Oreochromis niloticus: one gene and its partner. The protein of the gene in region 1 purifies or fractionates together with the protein of each later gene. This does not show direct contact. Links are inferred from orthologs where the notes say so. Each region holds a gene or a part of one and is shown in the gene's direction. Other genes may lie near its edges.

Evidence for each region.
Region 2: the proteins of clcn4 (region 1) and tmem9 purify together in Homo sapiens (co-immunoprecipitation; 3 studies listed by BioGRID and IntAct, with this or other methods). This does not show direct contact. The link is inferred for Oreochromis niloticus from reciprocal best matches to the Homo sapiens genes CLCN4 and TMEM9.

The regions. Positions count from the first base shown.
Region 1 is NC_031986.2:24,151,609-24,163,543, reverse strand, and holds the start of clcn4 (H(+)/Cl(-) exchange transporter 4), read left to right. Parts: upstream 1-6,583; 5' UTR 6,584-6,762; coding exon 6,763-6,778; intron 6,779-7,284; coding exon 7,285-7,439; intron 7,440-7,546; coding exon 7,547-7,646; intron 7,647-7,879; coding exon 7,880-8,067; intron 8,068-8,148; coding exon 8,149-8,271; intron 8,272-8,544; coding exon 8,545-8,751; intron 8,752-8,878; coding exon 8,879-8,959; intron 8,960-9,038; coding exon 9,039-9,584; intron 9,585-9,667; coding exon 9,668-9,854; intron 9,855-10,056; coding exon 10,057-10,455; intron 10,456-10,543; coding exon 10,544-10,760; intron 10,761-11,935. Other genes in the region: E3 ubiquitin-protein ligase TRIM21-like, read right to left, coding at 1-493. UniProt on the Homo sapiens protein: Strongly outwardly rectifying, electrogenic H(+)/Cl(-)exchanger which mediates the exchange of chloride ions against protons.
Region 2 is NC_031984.2:20,020,825-20,033,304, forward strand, and holds tmem9 (proton-transporting V-type ATPase complex assembly regulator TMEM9), read left to right. Parts: upstream 1-6,966; 5' UTR 6,967-7,127; intron 7,128-7,219; 5' UTR 7,220-7,272; coding exon 7,273-7,365; intron 7,366-8,463; coding exon 8,464-8,555; intron 8,556-8,690; coding exon 8,691-8,799; intron 8,800-9,023; coding exon 9,024-9,155; intron 9,156-9,259; coding exon 9,260-9,403; 3' UTR 9,404-10,666; downstream 10,667-12,480. Other genes in the region: cacna1sb (calcium channel, voltage-dependent, L type, alpha 1S subunit, b), read left to right, coding at 11,845-12,029. UniProt on the Homo sapiens protein: Transmembrane protein that binds to and facilitates the assembly of lysosomal proton-transporting V-type ATPase (v-ATPase), resulting in enhanced lysosomal acidification and trafficking.

The DNA.
Region 1 (11,935 bases):
AGAACAGCTCCAGAGGTTTATTGTGCTTCATACACATCCTGCTTTCCAGGTTCTCCTCAGGATCGATCAGCTGATGTCTTTTCAGACATGAAGCTGTCAGATGAGGCTCCAGGTGAGTCTGACAGTAGGAGGCCAGACACACCAGGCAGGACTTCAGGGCCTTCAGTTTGGTTCCAGTGCAGATGTCACAGGGAACTTCTCCTGGTTTGGCAGCTTGTTGCTCTGAGCTGCTGCTGCTGACTTTCTGCTGAGCTTCACGTCTGAACTGAGAAACCATCTCAGAGATGAAACTGTTGACGTGCAGCTCAGGTCTCATCCTGAACACCTTTTTACACATGGGACACTGACACCTCTCACTGATATCCCAGTGATGACTGATGCAGTTTTTGCAGAAGTTGTGTCCACATGGTATGGAGACTGGATCAGTGAAGTCATCCAGACAGATGGAGCACAGAAACTGATCTTCAGATAGAAGACAGCTGGCAGCAGACATGTCTGAAAAAAAGTAAAGGAAATGATTTTATGATTATATTTTTTATTTAAATTCAGATTTAATCATATTTAAAGAGGACTTGTTCTGCTTTTACTTCCTTTCTGTCTTATGTCTCCTTTTCCAGTGCTGGATGGTCAAGATAAACATGCCGAAAGTTTGAAATAATAAGGTCAGTGTATGTGAAATTAATACCTGTGATCCCAAAGTTCACATGTCACACTGCTCTAAATAAAAAGTATCACACAGTTCTTTTAGTCTTAGATTTGTTTGAAGCTAGAAATCGAAGGGATGATGTTGAATGTCATCAGTGTGAATGCCCCTGAGAGCTCAAGTTAGTCTCTCTTCTGATTTCTACCCCAGACCACCGGGCAACGGAGAAAGCTACCCAAGCGGTGTAAGCTGCCCTTTGGTGTTTTGCCTCCTTTAACCAGTCCTCCTGAGCTTCAAACTGTCCTGATCAAACACACACATAACTCCATGACTTCCACTGCTCTCTCTATTTGTTAGGATACCTGGGTCGTTGACTCAGGGTTTTGAGTTTATTATATTATTTATCATTTCTAGTCTTTGGTTTCTTTGTTAGAGTTCTGTCTTATGTCTCTGTGTAATCCTTAGTTGCTGTCTCCCCTGTCTGCTATATCCCCGTGTCCAGTCAGTGTCTGTGTCTGCCCTGGTCCCACGTCTCTGTTCCCTCTGTTGTAGTGCCTGCCTGTGAGTCTGTGTCTGTAAGTTCAGTCTGTGTTATGTTTCCTGTTTTACTTTGAAAGTCCGTGTCTCATGTAAATGTGTCTGGATGTGCTTCCTTTGTCTCGTTAGGCCTAAATTGCCCCAGCTGTGTTTCCCTCCTGTTGCCCATTCCCTGATTGCTCCCTCTGTGTATTTAAGCCCTGTGTTTCAGTTTGTTGGTGTCGTGATCTACTCTCATTTATGCTGTGTGTTCTGTCTGCATGCCTATGTAAGTTTATTTGTGTTTTTGGGGTTTTTGTTACAGTTTGCCATCCAGCAATAAAAGCTGAGTTTTGAAGTACACTTTTTGCCTGCTGTGAGTCTGCATTTTGGGTCCACCACTCCTGCCTGCACACAGCCCTCACATGACACTATTGGTCTTTCCCCATTAAAGTCTTTACTGGGTTACCAACTTCCATAAATCATCTACTGTCAAAGATGCGATTACTGTTTCCTCACTACAACATCTTGCATGTTGGTAGTTAGGGAGGTCCACATGAGAAGCCCCTCCAAGCAAAATTGATGTCTGGCCCCCCACTGGATCCCAGCACCAAGATACCACCCATGTCAGAAAGTCTGACCAAAAAGTCCACAAAGTATGTGTCTTTACAATACAAGTCAAAGAAACTCTCACCTAACTATGTTGGTCCCTTTTAAATTTAAAACAACGTGAATGAACAAATTGCTGTGAAAGTGAGTGTCATGAGTTCACTTACCAATGTTTGTAAAGACTCTGCTGTGTTGTTGAGGAAAACCTGATGGATCCAGTTGACCCTGAGATTAGAGGTTTAATTGTAAACTTCATTGTCTCTGGAGGAGAATCCACATTTGGACTTTTAAACAGTTCAATCATGATCTTCTGTACTCACCAGTGTTAGAGAGAAGCTCTGCTGTGCTGATATGAAAGGATCAGTGAGCTCAGTTTAATGTTCCTTTGAAAAGAAACCGATTCCACTCAAGTGAATTTCTATTGTTACACATGCTTTTAGTTTCATCCTTCATTATCATCCAACTTTGATCAGTGGAATGTCATCCATCTAGAGTTTTGTGTCACATCTTACTACATTTATTTTAGTTTATTTAATTCTAATAATTTACAATACACTGTATCGGTTCCCGCATGGTTCAACAACCAAAGAAACAACAAAGTTTATCATTTTTCAGCCAATCACAGCTCAAGATTACCAAAGAGTTGTCCACATAAGAAAACTCATGTTTGTCAGAGAAGTGGGCGTAGGGTTGTTTTTGTATTTGATGTTTGATTCCTAAACTGTGAAAGAGGAGAGTTTAAATTTAGACAATTAAAACAGCCTGATCATGGTCACCTGTATAAGCTGTGTTGGACAGAAGCCCTGCTGTGTTGTAGCAAAAGGCTCAATGAGCAAAGTTTTAGGTTCTTTTAAAGAGAAATAGATTTTTGCTCAGGTGTATCTCTCACTTTCATTTCTGAATTCTGACGCTGAATTTCTCATCCTTCAGGTTTTCCCCCGCCTCTTTCAGCAGGCGAGAGACATTGTTTACCAGTAAACATTCAATTGGAAGTGAAGCTCACTGTAATGTTGTAAATATCTTTAAACTGGTGTCGTAACTGCTTTTTTTTCAGGGTGGGGTAAACTGCACATGATGCATCTTTACTGACTTTAGAAAAATAAGAATTGGGTGCACAACTTTGAACTTATTTAGGTTTTTCTCTAAACGTAGTCAAGTTTACATACAGGCTCAAATATAAACATGCACGCCACTAATAAATGTCTCTTTTGGCAAGTTTCCTTTTGATCAGCAAGCTTTTGAATTCTGGCTAGATATTTGCAGAGACTCTCTTTGGTGGAAATGCAAATGCCAAGCATTTCCTGATATGGACTTAACCCATACATTTTCAAAGAATTTCACAGCAAATCAGCCCTAGAGCATGATTTATGACAGTTCTTAGGTCTGATTGACTTTTCTCACCCAAACATACTCATCATTGTGTCCAAATAATTCCATGTTTGTCTCATCTGACCATAAAAAATTCTCCAGAAGACATTTGGCTTGTCCATGTAGGCAGCTGCAAGTTTTAGTCAAACTTGAAGGTGTTCATTTTGGAGCGGGGACTCTTTCTTGGTTGGAACCCTTTCAGACAGTGGTGATGGACAGTGACATTGGTGTTCCAGCAGTTTCCGGTTCATGGCAGGCTTAAGTGCTGGTGGTTCCTGGGTTGTTCCTGACCATCCTAGCCAATTTCCAGTTATCTAAATGTGACAGTTTGCATCTTCTTTCAGTCCCGGTGACACATTCAAATAACTTTGTTATAATCTGATTGAGTGCCCCGTGGTTTTCCACTCTGGCGTGGTCCTGCAGCATTCACCCCTTTTGGATGGAGCCCAGATTTTACACCTGTCTCATTCACCTGTTCCTCACTGCCAGCAATCAGCATCAGGAGTATTTAAGATCAGCATCAGCTACCCTATGGTGGTAAGAAACCAGCCTCATAGTAATTCCTTGTCCTTTACTTCTCGATGTCTACTTACCTTGATCTCCTCTTACTCCAAGCAACCACACCATGACTCCACTTTACGGTCAACTACTTACCTCCTTTGGACACTGCTCTCTACCCGAAGTTTCTCACAAGACTAGCATCATGCTTCTCAGGATTTTAGCAACTACTCACCATCCTTGTCTGCGGTCCTCCTGCCCACTGGCTCATCTAACAAACTGGAACTCAGGTTGGATTTTGCCATCTTCCCTTCGGCCAGACACTCACTGAGAAAACTCCCCCCACTTGTGCCACTCGCCTACATTCACACACTCTTCACCCTGCTGCTTTCTGGCATGAGGTACCAGAGCATTCGGGCCCTTACTGCCAAACTGCAAAAAGTTTCTTCCCCCAAGCCATCAGACTCCTGAACACTCAGTGACTGGACTGACACACACACACACACACACACACACACACACACACACACACACACACACACACACACACACACACACACACACACACACACACTTTCATGCACGTCACTACCTTCTGGTGTTGCACTGTTCTTGTTTTGCTTTTTGGCAATTTTTGCAGATCTGCACTTTATGCTGTTCTGTGCTCATTGTCTGTTATACGTAGCAGCATGGTCTTGGAGGAACGCTGTCTCGTTTTGCTGTGTAATGTACCACTGCACATGGTTGAAATGACAATAAAGCCACTTGACTTGACTTAAAGCCACAGTCCACATCAGTGTAACTCCCCCCCCCCCATCCTGTGTTCTTTTATTCGAGCCTTGTTATTGTAAATTTCCAGGCTCCCAAAATCCAGAGGCCCTCAGAGAGCAAGAGACCAAGGAAGACCAACAGAGGGTCAGCCGTGCCACTCTCCCGGAAAGAGCTGAGGAGAGCCCCAGATGAGGGGTCGCTCAGCAGCCGCGGAGTAGAAGCCAGGGGGGGTTGCAGTCACGTGCCCGTGAGCTCCGCCGGCAGCCAGCTGTGCCAGAGTGACCAAGCCCCAGGCCCAGAGGCCGAGGACACCCCACCCCCGAAGGGGCCAGAGCGAGCCCCAGGCTCCAGGCCCCGACAAGCAGCCACCAGGAGTGAGCAGCGCACCTGGACGCCCATCCCCGGACACAAAGAACCACCAATGCACCGATGTCTGAGGGCATCTGCCACTGGTAGGGGGAGTGGTGGGAGGAGATATAGACATAGACATAGAGATATGACATATAGACACAAACAAACAGGCACACACAGATACAAACATCCATTCCCACCCTCGTGCTCTCATATGCAATTACTCAGCACTCAACCAACGTGGAGACAGGCATAAATAGACACTGTACACACAGTCACACTCCCCACGCGTACTCTATACCCCAGGTCTAGGTACCCTTGCCCCTGGAAAGGGAAACTGCACCCAGACCCAGGTAGTGTTACCCTCTTCCCTGGGGTGGAGAGAAGCAGACCCCCCCTGACTCCACAGCAGCAGGGAGGCCCCACATTCCAGATCCCATTCGGACGGCCAACTCCTCCTCTCAACTCCCCCGCCCCAACAGGCAACAGACAATGTGGGTGTGTGAAGACTCCAAACCTCCCTCTGCCCGCTCATATGTAGTGTTGATGCATGTGTGTTCTAAGGTGCATTTAAAACCCAGGAGGGCATGGAGCTACCTGCCAGAGAGCAGCATGTAAGCGCATAGCCCCTCCTGATAGCCCTCAATGTATACGTGTATTTAAAATTGAGAGGTGGGCAACGGCGCCAGGGGTGGGGTTGTACACCCTGATGGTCATCTGGATGCCGTGTAGCGTACCCACCCCAAAGGTCCTATGTATGTGTTATGAGAGTGTGAGTTTTTTACTCTAATCTAATGTTTGATAAACAAATTAATGCTGTATTCAAGTCCAGTTTCTTGCATCTTCGACTACTTGCTAAAGTGAAGCCATTTCTCTGTTTTAGAGACTTTGAGAGAGCTATGCATGATTTCATTTTATCTCGCCTCGACTACTGTAATAGTTGTCTAAGGAGCTTGGAAAGAAAAGCGTCTGGACTTCTTTAAGCTGCTTGAAGATGTTTCACCTCTCGAACTGAAGACGCTTTTCTTTCCAAGCTCCTTAGACTACAATGACCTGGATGACTGAGAACCTTCACAGACATACTGTAATAACCTTTACTCTGGTGTTAGTTTGTCATCAGCTAAATGTCTATAGCTGGTCCAAAATGCTGCAGCACGGTTACTAACTGGCACACACAAGCGAGAACACATATCTCCCATACTGGCGTCATTACACTGGCTGCCAGTTAGTTTTATGATTAATTTTAAGATTTTATTATTTGTTTTTAAGGCATTGAACAGGTTAGCACCCTCATACATTTCTAATCTTTTAAATTGGTACACTCCTGCAAGATCACTGAGGTCTGCGGAACAATTGCTCCTGGCTGTCCCGAGGTCCAGATTAAAGCACAGAGGAGATCGGGCCTTTGCTGTAACTGCTTCTAAACTGTGGAACAAACTGCCCCTTCACATCAGGACCTGCCCAACATTGGACACTTTTAAAACCCGTCTGAAAACCCAGTTTTATTCCTTGGCTTTTAAATCAGAATGAGCTTGTATTACTTTTATTTATCTTATTTTTTACTCAAATCTTCTAATTTTATGATTCTTTTTCTCAACTCTTATCATGTCTCCCTATGTTTTTATTTCTCTTAATTATCTTAATTGTACACCACTTTGGTCAACGGTTGTTGTTTTAAATGTGCTACATAAATACATTTGACTTTGACTGGTTTGTAATTTTTCAAACTTTAATCTTTCTTGTAATTCCCACGCGTGGCCATCAGAGGGCAGAAAAGACTCCAAACACCTGAAACACGACGAGATTTGAGGTGGGTCCAAGCAAAGAGAGATCCCGAAGTATCGCGATACTGACAGGTTGCACGGAGCCTTCTGCGACGTTCCTGTCGGCTTTTATTTATTTTTCTCTCGCCGAATTTGACTAAAATGTCATTTTTATTTGACAACGTATCAGTTAATAATTGAAGAGATTTTATTTTAGACCCGCAGCGGTCAGCACGGAGCAACATGGAGGCCGCCGAAGGTAAACAACAACAACAGCCAGTGAAATGATGCTGAGTTAGCCTGGTTAGCCTCAGGAGCTAACGTAAATAAAGGCTCCGCGGTGCTGTTTGTGCTGCTGGATCATTTCAGGTGTGAAGTCTGACAAACACAGTGGAGACTCTCGGTGGTGATTGCATTCATGTCAGAGGAGATAGTTGTTGTTGTTGTTCGGCAGGTAAATGTGAGGAGATCTGCCCTCATCCTGTGATATGAGGCAGGTGAAATGTTTCCCCTCCTCCTTTTAACTCATTGGGATCTTTGAATTCAGTAAAGGCTGACAGCACCCGGCTCCTCCTCATCAGGATAAACAGAAATGCATATTATTAAAAACACGTGGATCTTTAATTTAAGCTTTTATTCTTATTTATATGAATGTGTTGAGCAGGTGATATCTCATTAAACTGATGAGCATGGACATTAACGTTAAATAAACAGTGAGTGTTTACAAATCAAATTAACACTGATGACGTCCTCACTTTCTTCCAGGTGTGAGCGCCGCCACGCCCACAGAGGAGATGAACGGTGCCGGGAACCTGATGGACTTCCTGGATGAGCCTTTCCCCGATGTGAGCACGTACGAGGACTTCCACACCATTGACTGGCTGAGAGAGAAATCCAGGGACACGGACCGCCACCGTAAGGTGTGTGCTCCATCTATTCCTCTCCCTCCTCATTGTGAGGTGTGATGTGTGAGCTTTTATTTGAAATCCACACAGCAAACATGTAAGTTGATCCTGTGTTTCTGCAGATCACCAGCAAGAGCAAAGAGTCCCTCTGGGAGCTGATTAAGAGCCTGCTGGACGCCTGGTCGGGATGGGTGGTGATGCTGCTCATCGGCCTCCTCTCAGGTCAGGCTCGCCGTGTCTCTGATCTCCTCCTCCCCTTAATGCTGCTGGGTTTAAAGTTCCAAGGCTTCATCTATCTAGCTTCCTTTTCACCTTTATTTCTGTTTCTTACTCTGTTGTTGAAGCTGCAGACGTCTCTCTGGCGGTCCAAGCGACACCGGAAGAGAAACAGGAGCAGTCTGAGAGTGATGAAGGTGTCTCTGAGGTGGAATGACTCCTCCCCTTCTCCTCCACAGGGACGCTGGCCGGTGTGATCGACCTTGCCGTGGACTGGATGACGGATCTGAAGGAGGGTGTGTGCCTCTCGGCGTTCTGGTACAGCCATGAGCAGTGCTGCTGGACCTCCAACGAGACCACGTTTGACGACCGGGACAAGTGCCCACAGTGGCAGAAGTGGGCGGAGCTGATGACAGGCCACGCCGAGGTTGAGTTGCCCGCTTTTACTGGTTGTGTGTGTTTCTTCAATGAGTGGACAGAGTGATGAGCTAACTCTGTGTTCTCTCAGGGAGCCGGAGCGTACGTGCTGAACTACTTCCTGTACATCCTATGGGCTCTGCTCTTCTCCTTCCTGGCGGTGTCGTTGGTGCGAGTGTTCGCTCCGTACGCCTGCGGGTCGGGAATCCCGGAGGTAACAAACTTTTTCACTGGATAAACAAATTAAATCAGTTGGAGTTGCCTCAGTTCATTTGAGCAGGCTTCTAATGAGCTGTGTTACTTGCAGTAGGTGGCATTAGGCCACGCCCCCATGCAGAGACAGGAACTGAAGCCATGACATCAGTGGACACCACAGTTAGATGGTTTTTAACAGTTTTCCTGCTGGACTTTTTAAATGGAGTCTGATTGCGCTGTCAGCCATGCGTTCGCTCTCACATGTCTCCGTCTGTTTACATGTTTTGTGCAGATCAAGACGATCCTCAGCGGCTTCATTATCCGGGGCTACCTGGGGAAGTGGACCCTGCTGATCAAGACAGTCACGCTGGTGCTGGCCGTGTCGTCGGGCCTCAGCCTGGGGAAGGAGGGTCCTCTGGTCCATGTGGCGTGTTGCTGCGGAAACCTCTTCTGCAGCCTTTTCTCCAAGTACAGCAAGAATGAGGGCAAGAGGCGAGAGGTATGCTGCGGGAAAAACACTCCTGACCTTTGACCTTTTAAGGGCAGTAAGATTTCCTCACAGTGTTCACGCTCTTCCCTCGATGAAGAAAAAGTCACGTAGATGTATGTGTGTCTGCCTCCTGCAGGTGCTGTCGGCAGCGGCGGCAGCTGGAGTGTCGGTGGCGTTCGGTGCGCCCATTGGAGGAGTCCTGTTCAGCCTGGAAGAGGTCGGCTATCAGACCGGACACAGAGTATCTGTAGCTCCTCCTCCTCTCTCCTAACGATGTCCTGTGCTTCCTCCTGCAGGTCAGCTACTACTTCCCTCTGAAGACTCTGTGGCGCTCCTTCTTCGCCGCACTGGTCGCGGCCTTCACGCTGCGCTCTATCAACCCATTTGGAAACAGCCGCCTGGTGCTCTTCTATGTGGAGTACCACACGCCGTGGTACATGGCCGAGCTGGTGCCCTTTATCCTGCTTGGCGTCTTCGGCGGCCTCTGGGGGACCCTTTTCATCCGAGCCAACATCGCCTGGTGCCGGCGGAGGAAGACCACACAGCTGGGGAAGTACCCGGTCTTGGAGGTGATCGCAGTAACGGGGATCACTGCCCTTCTGGCTTACCCCAACCCATACACCCGCCGCAGCACCAGCGAGCTTATCTCAGAGCTCTTCAACGACTGCGGCGCGCTCGAGTCATCGCAGCTCTGCGATTACGTCAACAACCCCAACATGAGCCGGCCGGTGGACGACATCCCGGACCGCCCGGCGGGACCTGGTGTCTACAACGCCCTGTGGCAGCTCACCCTCGCACTCATCTTCAAGATCGTTATCACCATCTTCACCTTCGGCATGAAGGTCAGTGCGAGGAAGACGATGGGCTGGAAGTCGGTGTTTGTTTCCTGTTTCTGTTTCCCTGAGCTGATCTCTTTCCTCCTCAGATCCCCTCGGGTCTCTTCATCCCCAGCATGGCGGTCGGGGCCATCGCCGGGCGGATCGTCGGGATCGCCGTGGAGCAGATGGCCTACCATCACCACGACTGGATCATTTTCAAGAACTGGTGCCGGCCCGGCGCCGACTGCGTCACGCCGGGACTGTATGCCATGGTGGGAGCCGCCGCCTGCCTGGGTGAGTGCACCGTTCACCCATTAGAAGCTTTAAGATGTAGACATGATGAGGCCTCGTGTCAGGCCTGCCTGAAACAAGCTGTTTTAGCTCCTCCCCCTTTAACCCAAGCTTTGTTCTGATTGGCTGCCTCTGGTAAACAGCAGAAACTTCTCACACTGTGAATGGTTGAATTAAGTCTCCTCCTGTGTTTGTGTTGCTTCAGGCGGTGTGACGAGGATGACCGTCTCGCTGGTGGTCATCATGTTTGAGCTCACCGGCGGCTTGGAGTACATCGTCCCCCTGATGGCCGCCGCCGTCACCAGCAAGTGGGTGGCAGATGCATTCGGTAAGGAGGGCATCTACGAGTCACACATCCTGCTAAACGGCTACCCGTACCTGGACGTGCGGGACGAGTTCACCCACCGCACGCTCGCCACCGACGTGATGCGTCCCCGCAGGAACGACCCGCCGCTGGCTGTCCTCACGCAGGACTCCACGACGGTAGAGGATGTGGAGACGCTGATCAAAGACACGGACTACAACGGTTTCCCCGTGGTCGTGTCCAGGGAGTCAGAGAGGCTCATCGGCTTCGTCCAGCGCAGAGACCTCACGCTCGCCATCAGTAAGTCAACCGCAAATGCACGTTAGTCTTTAGTGAATCTGATCGAAATGTTTCCACTGACTCCTCCCCCCTCTCGCTCCATCCACAGAGAACGCCCGTCAGAAGCAGGACGGCGTGGTGAGCAGCTCAGTGGTCTACTTCACCGAGGACGCACCGCAACTGCCGGCGAGCAACCCGCAGCCGCTTAAGCTGCGACGCATCCTCAACCTCAGCCCATTCACCGTCACCGATCACACGCCCATGGAGACCGTGGTGGACATCTTCCGCAAGCTTGGTCTGCGCCAGTGTCTGGTCACCAGGAGCGGGTAAGAGCACGCCCAATGCCATCTGCTGTTACTGCCATTCGTCCTCCGTTCCACTACAGCCTGAAATATGGAAACGGTTGAAAATTCTCTTCTTTTTTTTTTTTTGCCTGTCCCGTTTGGTTCTTTTGCCATCAGAATTATTGTCTAAAGGCAAAGAAAGATGCCCAACGGATTTACTTTACCAAATGGACCATCCCGGCCTTGCCGTATTGGTTCATTTGATTCACCTTTGCTTTTATTGTTTATTTTATTTTATTTTCATTTGCTACATATGGGACAGACATGACTGGGGGAAAGAAAAGAGAGAAAGAAAGAGAGGTAGGGAAAGAAAAACAGCGGGGAAGAGGAACAGTGATTAAGGGCAAAAAAACAAAAACAAACAGACAAAAAATACTTATATCACTCACCTGGATCACCTGTTGAGAAAGAAAACAAGCAAAAAAAGAGAGCAATATAATAAACAACATAATCGCGATGATCTATGTGAGTATAACAGTAAATACTAAATATTGAATATTATTGTGCAGCACGTAGGATCGACAGCACACAGTGTGCTTTGAGGTAGCAGCCAAAAAGGGTGTAGTTTGTGTGTGTGAGCACCCGTGTGTACACCTGTGAGCATGAGCGCACTTGTATTTAAAAGGTTCCTTCATGTAATGATCTGCTAGAGGGTTGAAACTTCTCAAAGAAACAGGGTCAGATTTCATTCAGGAAGCACCTACAAAGTGCTGAAAACTTAGTTTCACTTTGTTGGTGACAAACTGGATCATTTGCAGTTGTCCTGCCACCAAAAATACTGTGAATACCTTGACTTTAGCAGTGACGTTCATCAGTAAAAAGCCTGAAACCGTTTGTAGCTCAGAAGCTGATCTGTATCATTCTTTTAAAATGTTAGAGAAGGATTCTCTCCAGTCTGCAGGAAACAGAGAAGCAGCAGCTTCATGTTTCCTTCTCACCTCTGATGTCATTGGCTGCTCTGTTGGTAAGAGCAGCCAGTATTTCAGGGCTTTATCTAGAATAATAGAGATCGGGTGTTCAGTACAGTGTTTTCTCTTCTATGTGCCAGTCTTTTTCTAAAAATGCACTTAAAAAAAAAAAAAGATGAGGAAGGTGAAGCTGGGCTGAAGTTTTTATGGTCGTATTTCTGCAGCAGCCGGCTTAGCTTTACAGATCAA
Region 2 (12,480 bases), on another chromosome or scaffold:
TATGTAAATACATGTTGTTGTTAATGTCATAATAAACCTCAAACTCCAATATGCATCCACTGTACTGGTGTGAAAGCAGAAATCTAAAAAATCAGTCTATACTAATAAAATTTGGGGCAAATTAAAGAGAACTATGTGCAGACACTTAACATAAATAGCTTTAAATGTGAATTACTCAGCTCACGTCTCATTTTTCCTTACTGTCACCTTCCTCTATCTTACCTTATTCCTTTACTCCCCTTGCTCTGCTCCTGCCGCCGTCTCTGAACCAGTCATCCAGAGCTTGCTCCATGTGTGTTGAAGATTAGTGGTAGAGTGTGGGGCTCTATTGATTTCTGAAGCTGTGAGATGACAAGTTTGATCTTATATCACAGGGTTTACGTCTGATTTGTTCCGGGCAGAAAGCACCAAACAAATATAGTTAAGTGTTACTCAACCATACCGCCTGTAGAGATTAGAAAATTATTTTGCTGTTACTATTCATGTTGCATTAGTTATCATTTCATCGACACATTTTTTGAAGCTGTTGAGGTTAAAGTCTGTATTTCAAGTCTGTATTTCAGGTGGTAGCTTAATCACATGATAATCTTTCATTGCAGGTGCAACTGTATTCATGTTATACACATTGCATTTTTGTGCTAATTAAAGAGTTGAAGCTCGGTCAATTAATTGATGGTCGGAAGCTTCAGCGGCGCGAGGTCCGACTGATCTATTGAGTAAAGTGACCTTGAGTTATGAAAGAATTGCATACATGCTTACAATACATCACGCACAACTTAGAAACTGAATAGAGGCCTGTGTGTTCAGCAACCGACTGCATTGGAGTTCTGCCTGGTAACAGATGACTCAGAGTAAGGTCATGCACCGAGGTTAAGACACATGGGCTGTCTGAACACACATACACAGTGTCTAGACTTGTTTTGCTTGAAATTGCGAAGTTTCAAGCAAAGAAACTGCATACGTGACAGTTCAGTTCCCCAAATAAGTGTAATAGGTAAAATAACAGGAAACATGTAGTGGAGGAACAGAGGAAGGAACTGTTCTTTTTTTAGAAGATGTTCAAGGTTGGAATGACTGGAACATGTATGTTTTTTATCTGCTGTGACGCATATTACTTGTCATCATATGTTATATATATCACACCCCATTTATTGTTGTGAGAAGACCGATGCTTTTTGGGTGATCGTGCTCGGCTTCCCACATGTATGTGTTGTAATAAAATCATTGTTTTGACACACTGGGACTTTGCAGTCGTCTGTCTCTTCCTCAAATACGAACCATGACACGCCTGTAAAGACATTTTTACTTTATATCGTTTATGTCTGGAGAATAGTTTTGTTTGTGTATGTGAACGTGTCAGTGGCAGTCCGTCGTGGCGCACCACTGAGCTGCCAGGTCAGATTGCAACAAATGCCGAAACAAAGGAAGATGACTCACAGTGACATTTGGCGAAGGAGGCCCCTGTGGATGAAATCCATCGTGCCTCCAGATGTGGCCTGCAGCTGGGGCAGGTAGATCACAGACTGACATGAGGAGATGGAGTAAGGGTGTGGCAATGTCTGTATCACCTCATTAGGGAAAACTTATCACACAGAAACCTCTGTCCCTACCTTTTGGAAGGAGTGGAGTCTCCTTCCAAAGGATTAGAGCTGACAAAATTTTCTGATCATGGAATCGCTTTGTCGGGGAAAAAAAGGCTCTTGGTGACTTTTGGCTGTTTACCTTCCTCCTTCTGTTTTGAGAGCGCTGACTCTGAAAGAAGATCCACATCGATATCTATATCGGTGCTTTTTGCTGACTGACATGTGTGTGTTGTGTTTTGCTCGCTGACTTGATCGGCCAGGTGCCTAACATTTTTTATCTGTAAGGATTCTATGCATCGCTGGCTCTATAAATCAGTCTGGGGGGCCTTGTCACTTAAAGTAGACATTAATAGCTGACAGTTTATTGACCGGCCTGCCTGTATTTGTTAAACCAGCAGGCTGTTTTTTCCAACCTAAATTGCATCCTTATATACCAACAACAAACTTCCTTCCTCCCCTGCAGCTATTTATCTACCTTTCAATCCATGTCACCTTTCATTTCTTGCTATTGTTTTCAGCTGTCTTCTTGCCTGACCCCTGGTCTCCCTTGAAAGATGCGTGTGGATTTCTGGCAGCTTGCTGTTTTATTTATCTTTTTTGACCAATTCTGCAATTGGCCTATGAAGCTCTCTTTGAAGTTTCCCTGCGTCTCTCTAACATCTTGTGCAACATCAAAGACAACACATTACACGGGGGCAGAGTTCACCCGAGAGCCACTGCAATTCAAGCATCATCGCCATGTTTCTCTTTTCTCCTCCTGCAGGGGTGCAACACTGCTAAAGGAGAGGAATAGCGAGTGGTGGGCGGGTGAGTGCGGGGACGGCTTCCCTTCCTCCGTTTGTGTCCATCATGTGTCATGGCCGCTCTTGGCTTTCATGTTCTGTCTGGCTGAGTTTCCTGCTCCAGCAGTCTCTGTTTCCTTGCTGAAAATCGGTGTCCCTCAGAGGCAGGAGACACTCCCTCCTCTGCATCCATTTCAGCTCAGCTCAGCGTAGCCGGGCTCGGCTCTCACCTTGCTGACACCAGCTCCTCAGCAGACACCTTTCCCCCTGCATGGGCTCAGCTGGCTGACAGGCAGCTGTCCGTACAGATAAAGCAGAGCAGGACACACACTGTACTCTGAGTCACCATCACTGCTTACTGCTCTAACACCTTTGCTATTGCCACCTCTTTTGGTTACAACATTTCTCGAGCAAGCATCTCACACTACCTCCATCACTGAAACTGATAACAGGTGATCTTTATCTTCTATCTCTGTTTGAAGATCACACAGAGCTTTTTTTATTTTAAAAAAACATCTTGTAATTTATTAATTCTTTGATATTTTTTCCTGTAACTTCAACAGGATCAAACTAAACACAAAAAATGACAAGTTTATTCCACATGTGGTTAATATTTAGACCTAATGCAGGGGGCTTTGAGTGAAACACCTAAGAAGTAGTCGTTGTTTGATTACCATGGGAAAGAAAAATTCAATTCCAGGGGCCCAAAACAAGCCAGTGGCTGATGAAGACAAATGTGCAAACACATGTTGGCAGAATTGCTTTTTGGTTGACTGTGATCGGCTACGCTCAGGAGGGCGGAACCAGGAGTTGTGATTTATAGTTTTGCGCTGTCCCTGGATCACCACTGTCTGCTACCTCCCACTACTGTAATTACCACGTGTGTCCATTAGAATAGTCCTACTGCCCACAATGCACCACCTCAGCGGAGAGGAGAGGAGAGATATCGCTTCAGAGATAGTCTTGTTATTCAAACAGTGTTCTCTCCAAAAGCATGATACAGAGGAGGGCAAAAAGACACTGCAGATGATGTGATAAAGGTCAAAAAGAAACATACTGAAAGGTTGAGGGGTGTATTGAAAATGCTAGATTAAGGACAAAAACCTGTAGCATCCTATAGGTGAGTCATATAAGGTAGGTATTTATCTACAGTGCTGCTGTAGCTGTTTAGCTAATAATTAATTGGTTTTATGTGGCTCTATCTTTGAATTTCACAATATATTTTCTCTTGTTTTATTTTATATGCCCTAGATCATATCTACATCTCTCCAGATCTTTACAAAGTCTGCTTTGACTAGCGTCTGCTGGTCGAGATTGAGTTTGCTTTGCCTTGGGCCTTATAGCATCTCCTAGTGGGCAAAGTGCCTGATGCTTTCAGGTCCCTGGAAAATGAATGTTTTGAGTAATGTGATTCAGTCGATACTTTCAGGTACCTTGACAAGTAAGAGAACTTGACACCCTCTGATGTTGTTTATGAGTTGAATTTCTCCGCAGTGTTTCCATTATGGATCATTTCCCTTTGCTGTTTTATAGTCAGGCTGCGTTCGCAGTTCACTGGCTAAAGACTTTGTCAAAATATTTGTATCTGTCCGCATCAATTACAGCGCTTTTTTTTTTTAGTTGAGTGGTAATAAACCACTTTACATAAACAACTAGATTCATTTTTCTTTCCTAAATGAATATTTTTTTACCAAGTCTACCCAAAGAAGAACTCAATCCCCTTTCTTTTCTTAAGAAGTCTGAACTGATAATGAGACCTGGCACTAGGCTCTGGTCAGTGTCATTTATGCTGTAATTGGCCTGGGGATTAAAGGGCAGCCATGCATCAGAGAAGATGAGAACTAAGTGGCTTACAATGACAGAAGTGAGAGAATGAAATATATTATAGAGAGCTCGCACAAATCACCATCTAAAGCGTTTATGAGTCGAATTATGACGGAGATCATTACACGAATGAAGGAGTACATGCATGAGTTCATGAAGTAATCAATTGAGGAATCAATTAAAAACCAAAACACACTTAAAACATTCAGAACTAACTTGCCAAGTATATCAACAGCAAAAGGTCATTGACAACGTAAAAGACATCACCAGCATAATATTGTCTGGGTGAAAGGTTTTCTCCACATAATCTGACCAGTTCTTGTCTTTTCATAAAACTAAACCTGCTAACTGTGAATAAAAATAAAACAGCAAAAAAAAAAATTTTTTTTAAAGATAAATGCCCGTGAAGTATCACCTGTTAACTCCCACCCAAAAAAAACAGCATCATGGTTGACATATTTCAGTAAAAGAGTAGAAATCTTTTTTAATGTATTGTTTTCTAAAGGAAGAAATGGTGCCCGGTCATAGATTTTAAAATAAGTAATTTGTACAGCATGAAAAATGAGTAAAAATATGGATTTCCGGGATTTCTTCCGTGATCTGTGTATGTGTTTCACATGATTAAGTCTCCCATCACTCACATTTTTTAGGCGTACAAATAGCTCAACAACAACAACCTTGTAGGCAGACATAAACTGACTGAGTTCACATCCTTTGTGAAGCTGAAATCCCAGCACTCCAAATCTCCATACTATATATAGAATAAACAAGTTCTTGGCAGCATTGCAGCTGATTTAAGTGGTTGAATCACAGGTCACATGAACGACAGTGTTTACACACAGACGGTGCTCTGTTGTTCACGCTGATATCGTAGCTTATTAGAGAAACAACCACGGTCTCGATTGATCTATATGACCGAAAGCTCAAGAGGTTCAGGCAGAATTTGTGAGTCATTGATTTCTGTGGCTTATTAAAGGTATGAGTAGCTTACTATACAGAGAGATGTGAAAGCAGGATTACCAGGAAATAGGGGTATTGATTGGGTCAAGAAGCTAAGACTCATATTTCAAATTCCAAAAGGGAAACTGGATTTGACACAAGAGCAGTGTTGACCAAAACAATATAAAATATCCTTGATTATTCTGGTCATTAAAAAAACATTAATGTTACAAATAAAGGCTGCTTCATGTATATTATACATATGATTGCTATTTGGAATTATGCATTATTGATATATCTAATTTTTAGACACATTAATATTTAAGCATCATTTTAATGTTGTAGGTGGTCAAAATGTAAACATTTCATAGTTGAATTGCTTATTCTATAATCTGCAGTTCTGTAAATCTGAGCTCTGTATATGTACAGCTTCAGCTATGACACACTTTAATCACATCACTAATGTCTGATAAGACAACAGTAAAGATGGATAAGAGGCTTTGGAGTCCACAGTGCTTGTTTGCTTATAATGCTGATAAAAAAATTTAAAAAAAAATGCTGTTTAAACTGTTGAAAGCAAACCTTTGGTCCAGGCGTTGTAGTTTCACAATTCCACTCACTACTGTAAATGTCAAATATGGAAAGCAATTAGCACTGAGGACTAAAATGTGCAATAATTCACAGAAAAGTAATGGCTTGATTAAATTAATGAAAGACTGCAAGTACACTGACCGGATCCCAACAAACTGAATGTGGGGAAAATGTTGTCTATGGGATGTAAGAACAATGCTGGGATCAAAACCTCAAAAATACAGTCAATTGTGCAAGTTACTGGATTGTTATTTCATCTCTCTTGCTAGGTAAATATGATATAGAGGGAGGACTAAGTTTGTTGTTATGGTCTAATGCAATAGTCTTTATATACTCCCATATTCTCTTTCATTTCACTTTTACTTAAGCTGCTTTTCTATCTGGTAAAGTTTTGGGGGTTTCGGTGTGCATAGTTTGGCATGCATTTTTAGCCATATCTGACAATTTTAGCTATTTTCATTCATGGCACACATATACTGTGTCACTTAACACAATACTTTCCTCCACTCGGAGGGGAGCTGGAGCCTTTCCCATCTGTCATAGGGCAAGTGGCAGAGTACACCTTGTACACCTTAGTTGCCAGTGTGCAGCACATAGAGACAGAAAACCATTAATACCTGCAGGCAGGTTAGAATTACCAGTGAACCTAACTCCATGCATGTCTTCGGACTGTGGGTGGAAGCTTAAGTACCCGGACAGATCAGCACGCAAAGGCCACTCAAAAAGGCTCCAGACTGGATTCAAACCCAGGACCTTCTTGCTGTGTGGGGGCAGAGCTAACCAAACTAAAACAAAACAAAACAAACAAACAAAAAAGAACAAACAAAAAAAACCCACACAAAACCCCTCTGTTTCTCCAAAATATGCTGCATCTCCTTTTTCTTTCTGGTAGCTTCCACCATATTTAATAAAATCTGCAAAGCTTGTGACTTCTTTGGTAACTTTCTTTGATGTGTATGACATCAGACAGGCTGACCTTTTTCCTTTTTCTGACTATAATAAAAAAGTCTTCCCGTCATATGCAACTGGTAAAAGCCAGACTTTAGAAAAGCGCATGTCCTGCAGAACCAGTCAAAATGTGAGACACTGTCTAAAGATATGTGTGTTTGTATGTGGGCGGGGGTGGATAAAAATGTTGTGCAGTCCCACATAAAGAGGGACAGTAAGTGATTATAATGTAACCTGCTTGATAAATATGAATTCTTGATTATTATTTTTACTTCTTATTTTGTCCAGCAGGTGGCGCTGTCTCTGCATGTTTGGTGTCGGATTGTTTTCTTCATGTGTGACGACAGTCCGGAATAAGGAAGGACAAAATTCATTTGTCGATCTTTGCTCTAAACAAAGTGAGAGCACACTTTCAACCTGAATGCAAAGCAGAAACAGACGTTTTCCTCACTCTCACAGCGTAAGTTACCGCGTTGCTAGCTTTGTTTTTACGACATTTCGTGTCGTGGATTTCCTGCCTTGCAGTGCTAGCTAACTGCTATATTTTGACAGAGCCTTGCTGGTGATCCTTCAGTCGTCGTGCCAGGTGTTTTGCCTTTGGGGAAATGTCGTGTGGTTGGGGAAGATCCTGGATGTTTGCTGCAGCCGCAGTGGTGACCGTGTTTCTGCTGGATGTTGTCGTTTTTGCTCGAGCTAAGGTAAAAGACCTGCTGGTACACAGAGGATCTGTGTTTGTGGATTAAATCTCATCAAGTATTGCTTTGTTTATGGGAAGATGTTCAGTAAACTGTGCTCAGTTTTATTCAGTGAAATATAAAGATTGTATAGTTAAATAACGAAATGTAAAATAATAGTTCAAGGGCGATATTGCCAGCACAATTATGCAATTACATCTACTTAAAGAATACCTGTTTATGTTAGTCTTACATTAGTTTATCTAAATAATGATTATGTAAATACCCCTGAACTACTGTCAGGACACTCGTGGATTTCTTAGCCAAATTGGGGATTGTAGTCTTAAAGAACTAGAAGTAGGAATACACTGCGAGGTTGCAGACTAAGACAAACTCCAGTTCTGCAGAAGAGACTCCTTCAAAGCAGACTGAAGTATGCCAAGGTCAACCTGGAGAATGAGTGTGCATAGAAAGTGAGTCCTTTAGTCAGATGAGACAAAAGGGAAAAGGTGTACAACTCACTGGGAATCTCATTAAGGTAGAAGGTATCATAAAAGATGGATATGTGAAGTGTTTGAAAGAAAACGTCAAGCAGTCAGCAGCAAAACTGGGTCTGGGTTTTGCTTTATTTTCCAACACGATAATGACCCAAAACATACATCACTCCTGTGAAGAACTGCCTCCAAAAGACCATCGAATTTGGAGGCGTTTGAGAAATTGTCGTGGGATCACTCAGGAGGTGTGAGTGAGACTGGTTGGAAATTGCAAATGTATAGTATCGTAGGCTAATAGTTTTGGCTCTGGTAGTTTTTGGCTAATGTGAAATAATTTTGTTTCTGTGCCCAAATTAAAATTATGTAAGCATCCAAAAAGAAAAGCTGTGTTTTAAAACTTCTTGCACTGTTAAATACTCCAAAAGATAAAACTTCCATAGAGGATCTCATAATTTAGTGCTCATCTGTGTGTTTGTGCCATTTGACTTAGAATAACTGGAGTATATGTCAGAGTGTTTGTTTGTTTAACTGCTTGTGTTAATAATAGAGAGACGTCTCAAGTAGTGCTGTAGGGGAAAGATGGGCTGAATTTGGGGCCACTTTCACAAAAGTTCCTTAATTCTTGCAGAGCTTTGAGGATGTCCGCTGCAAATGCATCTGCCCGCCCTACAGAAACATTACCGGTCACATCTATAACAGAAATTTCTCCCAGAAAGATTGGTAAGAAAAATATTTTATTTAGACTTTTATGGATTTTTAAAGAAAAGGCGTTACTCTTTCACTGCGCTGCTGTTTTTAGGGGTTTTCTTTCTCTTAGCTCAGTAGAAATGACAAACGTTTTAATGTTTTTCACAGCAACTGCCTGCATGTAGTGGAGCCCATGCCTGTTCCTGGCCATGATGTGGAAGCCTACTGTCTGCTTTGTGAGTGCAAGTATGAAGAACGAAGCAGCAACACAATTAAGGTACAACTGACTTTCCTTCGGATATGACGACATATCTTCCTCAGCTTTTATTCCCAAGCAAAGCGGGTCATTGTGATTGTTTGTCATATAAGATGAGTCGTTGAAAATATTGCAAAGCCTTTCTAGTTTATTGTTTTGTTTTGGGGTTTTTTAAAAGAAAAGAATTTATAGTTTGCAAAGGTTGTATGTTGGATTCAGTGAGTTACTCTTGCTAAATATGACAGGTGACCATCATCATTTACCTGTCGGTTGTGGGCGCCCTGCTGCTCTACATGCTCTTCCTGCTACTGGTTGATCCTCTTATCCGCAAGCATGACCCATACACCCAGCCGCTGCACAATGAGGAAGACTCTGAGGTAACCATTCAAAAAAACAGCATCCAAGCACACTCCAATGTATTTATTTGATTTCTGTGGAGTTTGAAGTTCTTGATTTCAAACCATCTCTGGTTTGTGTTCAGGAGATGCGTCCGCAGCCAGAGAGCAGCAGCCAGGCCAGAGGAAACACGGTGCTGGAGCGGGTTGAGGGAGCACAGCAGCGCTGGAAAAAGCAGGTCCAGGAGCAGCGCAAAACAGTCTTTGACCGCCACAAGTTGTTAAGTTAAACCTTAAGGCTGACCTCAACACCAAGTTTAGAGTACGTAACCTTCCTGGGCCGTCTGATATTACACCAGTGGCACTATCACAAAACCTCTTTGTCATTGCTGTGCACCGCATCTGCCGAATTAATATTTAAACATCACACATCTAACACGACAATGTTTAAACTTGGTTTATTTACTAGATGTAAAAACTTGAGATGGGCAAAGCTGCAGTTTAAAGAAAACTGATGCTTGAAGCACTCCTGATGACCTAATGTCAAATCTTTTCAGCAAATTGGACATCAGTGCAGCTTTGAATGTCTTAATAAAATAATAACTTTTCCCATTTTGCACTGGCTGTCAAAAGCATTTCAGCTTATTGTGTGTTAATATTTATAATTTTTTTCCTTCAAGCATAATTTATGATGTGATCTCAGATAGAATAAGCTAAGTTAATTAGGACTACTCTGTCTATACAGTCTCAATGCTGTTGCTATTGTTTTGGCACTAATTATTTATTGGTATTTAAATCTGGATGAATTTAATGTATGATTGTTGATTTTGGACTTTGTATATTCACATTTGAGCAGCGCCCCACTCTGTGCCTTTCCTGTCTCTCTCTTTGTGTGGGAGATCGTGTTTCTCCAAACTCTACAGCTTTCTAAAAATAACAGACGGGAAGGTCAACTAAGAAATTTCACCCATTGTTAACTAGTGCTTGCATTTGTACTCATTTTATTTTTAAATTTTCTGACTGAACCCAGCAGCACATCTGTGTGTTTTTGTTTTTTTCTGCAGCACAATGTGACGAAACACTCTTTTCATGCAAAGAGAGAAAAAGAAAAGGAGGCATTTAGCAGAGCTTTAAAAGGACTCTCAGAAAAATCACAGGAGAATGCCCTAAACCACTAAAGCTGATGATAATGTGGTTTAGTGTGGCAGAATCCAGATGCTTCGTGGCTTTGAAAGGGCCTTGTGTGCATCATTATCTGTCAGTGAATTCCTGCTCGCATCCTATTACTGAAGCTCCCAGTTGGGAAATTATTAGTACAGCAAAAACAGGCACACTGGCTTGCATTACTGTACCTCATACACCGTATGAACTACTGAAGTTTATTGGTTTCTAATTGATTTGTTTTTTTGTTTTGTTTTTTGATTAGTTGATTTGTAATTATAGTTTAATATCCCTGCTGTCAATGTTTTATATGCATCTCTGGCCTAAGTGTGCTATAGAACCATATGTTTAGCTTGACGTGAAATAATAAAAGGAAATTCCTCAAAAAAAAAGGTTTTGGAATTTTTTTTTCTCCTTCAATTACTTTTCTCCTTTCAGATTTGCTGTTCCTGTTAATGGCGCTAGAGGGCGACAAAGTACACAGTAAGTGCGCGTTCTTCTTGCACTGGTCTGTGGTGCTTGAAGATTGAAGTCTTACATGTTGAGTGGTGTTCAGCTGCTGGGAAAACAGTCACCTGTGGCATGTTTAAGATCATGTTGCCAGTTTGAGAAGGTGTTTTAAAATGTGTAACTACAAACGTCCTGGTTTGGGAATTACACGTTTTAAAACAGCGCCGCTTCTACCGACTGTTTTAAGGGCTGGTGATAGTCGGTTGGTTGACTTTCATTTAAATTGTTTGGTTATGAACAACATTAACACTAAATCATTTGGTCACAGTGAATGTTACAGAGTATTGAGTCCATCATTCAGTGTTGAATATTATTCTGATGAAGTTTTGCAGTTTTCTTTTTAGCTATATCACAAACAGCAAACCCTGATTTAGCATTTACACGCACCACACAATCAATGAACGGTCTGTAAGGCACCATAATGGGCTGTATGGAAACGTGAAGATTTTATTGTTTAATCTGAGGCGCTTACAGCGGTTAGGGTGTACTTACGGATACCTATTGTTCATTATTCCTTTAAATACCAGCCTTCAGTTATTATTTAGAAATGCATAGAGCTGCATTATAGTGTTTTTTTTTTTTTAATGATTACATGTCTCTGTACTTCTTATGAATCCTAAATAAGAGGTTGACAGTAAAGTAAACCACACATATACAGACACATACACAAACAAAATCACACAAAGAGACACAGTCCCCCCCCCTCACTCTACCCTTATAATCATCCCCAAGCATGGCCTGCTGGTGGTTCATAATCTAAATTTAAACTATACCAAGGCCAACTGCTCCTCCAGTCACTCTGGGCTCCTGCTATTTTTCCTGGACGTGGTGGGCTTATTTTGTCAGAGGCCCTCAGCCAGGCAGAGAGGCCTGTGGCTCTGCCCGGGTGAGACCGACAAAGGAGCGAGGAGGAGGAGAAGGAGAAGAAAGAGGGTGCCAGGGGAGCCTGAGGAGGATCTGCTTTCACAAAGGGGAGACACACTGGACCTGAGTTTGGGATTTTACAATAAACATTAACTTTCACAGGAATTTGGAGCTTGTCTAAGGTGAAGGCATCAAGATGGCGTCGAACACAGAAGCGGCCAAGCCGATCATCATGAATGAAGAGGAGCTGAAGAGGAAGCAGAGGGAGAAGCTTAAGAAACTACAGGCCACTGGAGGAAACCCTCGACCCGCGAGATCTCTCTTCCTGTTCAACCTCAAAAATCCCTTCCGCAAAGCCTGCATCAACATAGTGGAGTGGAAGTATCCTTTAGATCTTTCAGTCACACACACCTCAGACAACTGTGTGTATTTTAGAAGAAATTTCAGTTTAAATATTTCTTTGAAATTCAAGGATATCAAGGCATTATACATGGCATTATACAGTCAGCGCAGCATGGAGCCCCGGTTTAAAAATACTGACAGCAGGGCAGTGAATTAATAGCCTTGTTCACCTGTGGTCAGCATGCTCAAGCCAGGTCTCTTCCAAATGTGTGATGAGATGATCCCTGAAGTGTTAAGACTTTTGTAATGTTTCTGATCTGTATCAAAGTCAAGTTTGCAGCCTGTGGAGTTTCACCTGCTGTTAACCTGAGATCACCTGACAAAAGCATCAGGCAAAAAAACAATTAACAAGGTAGTCTTATTCAACTCGCTCCTTATTTTTTTTAAATGTCCAAATAGTGACTTCAGCGTCCAAGTAGGAGAAGATGAA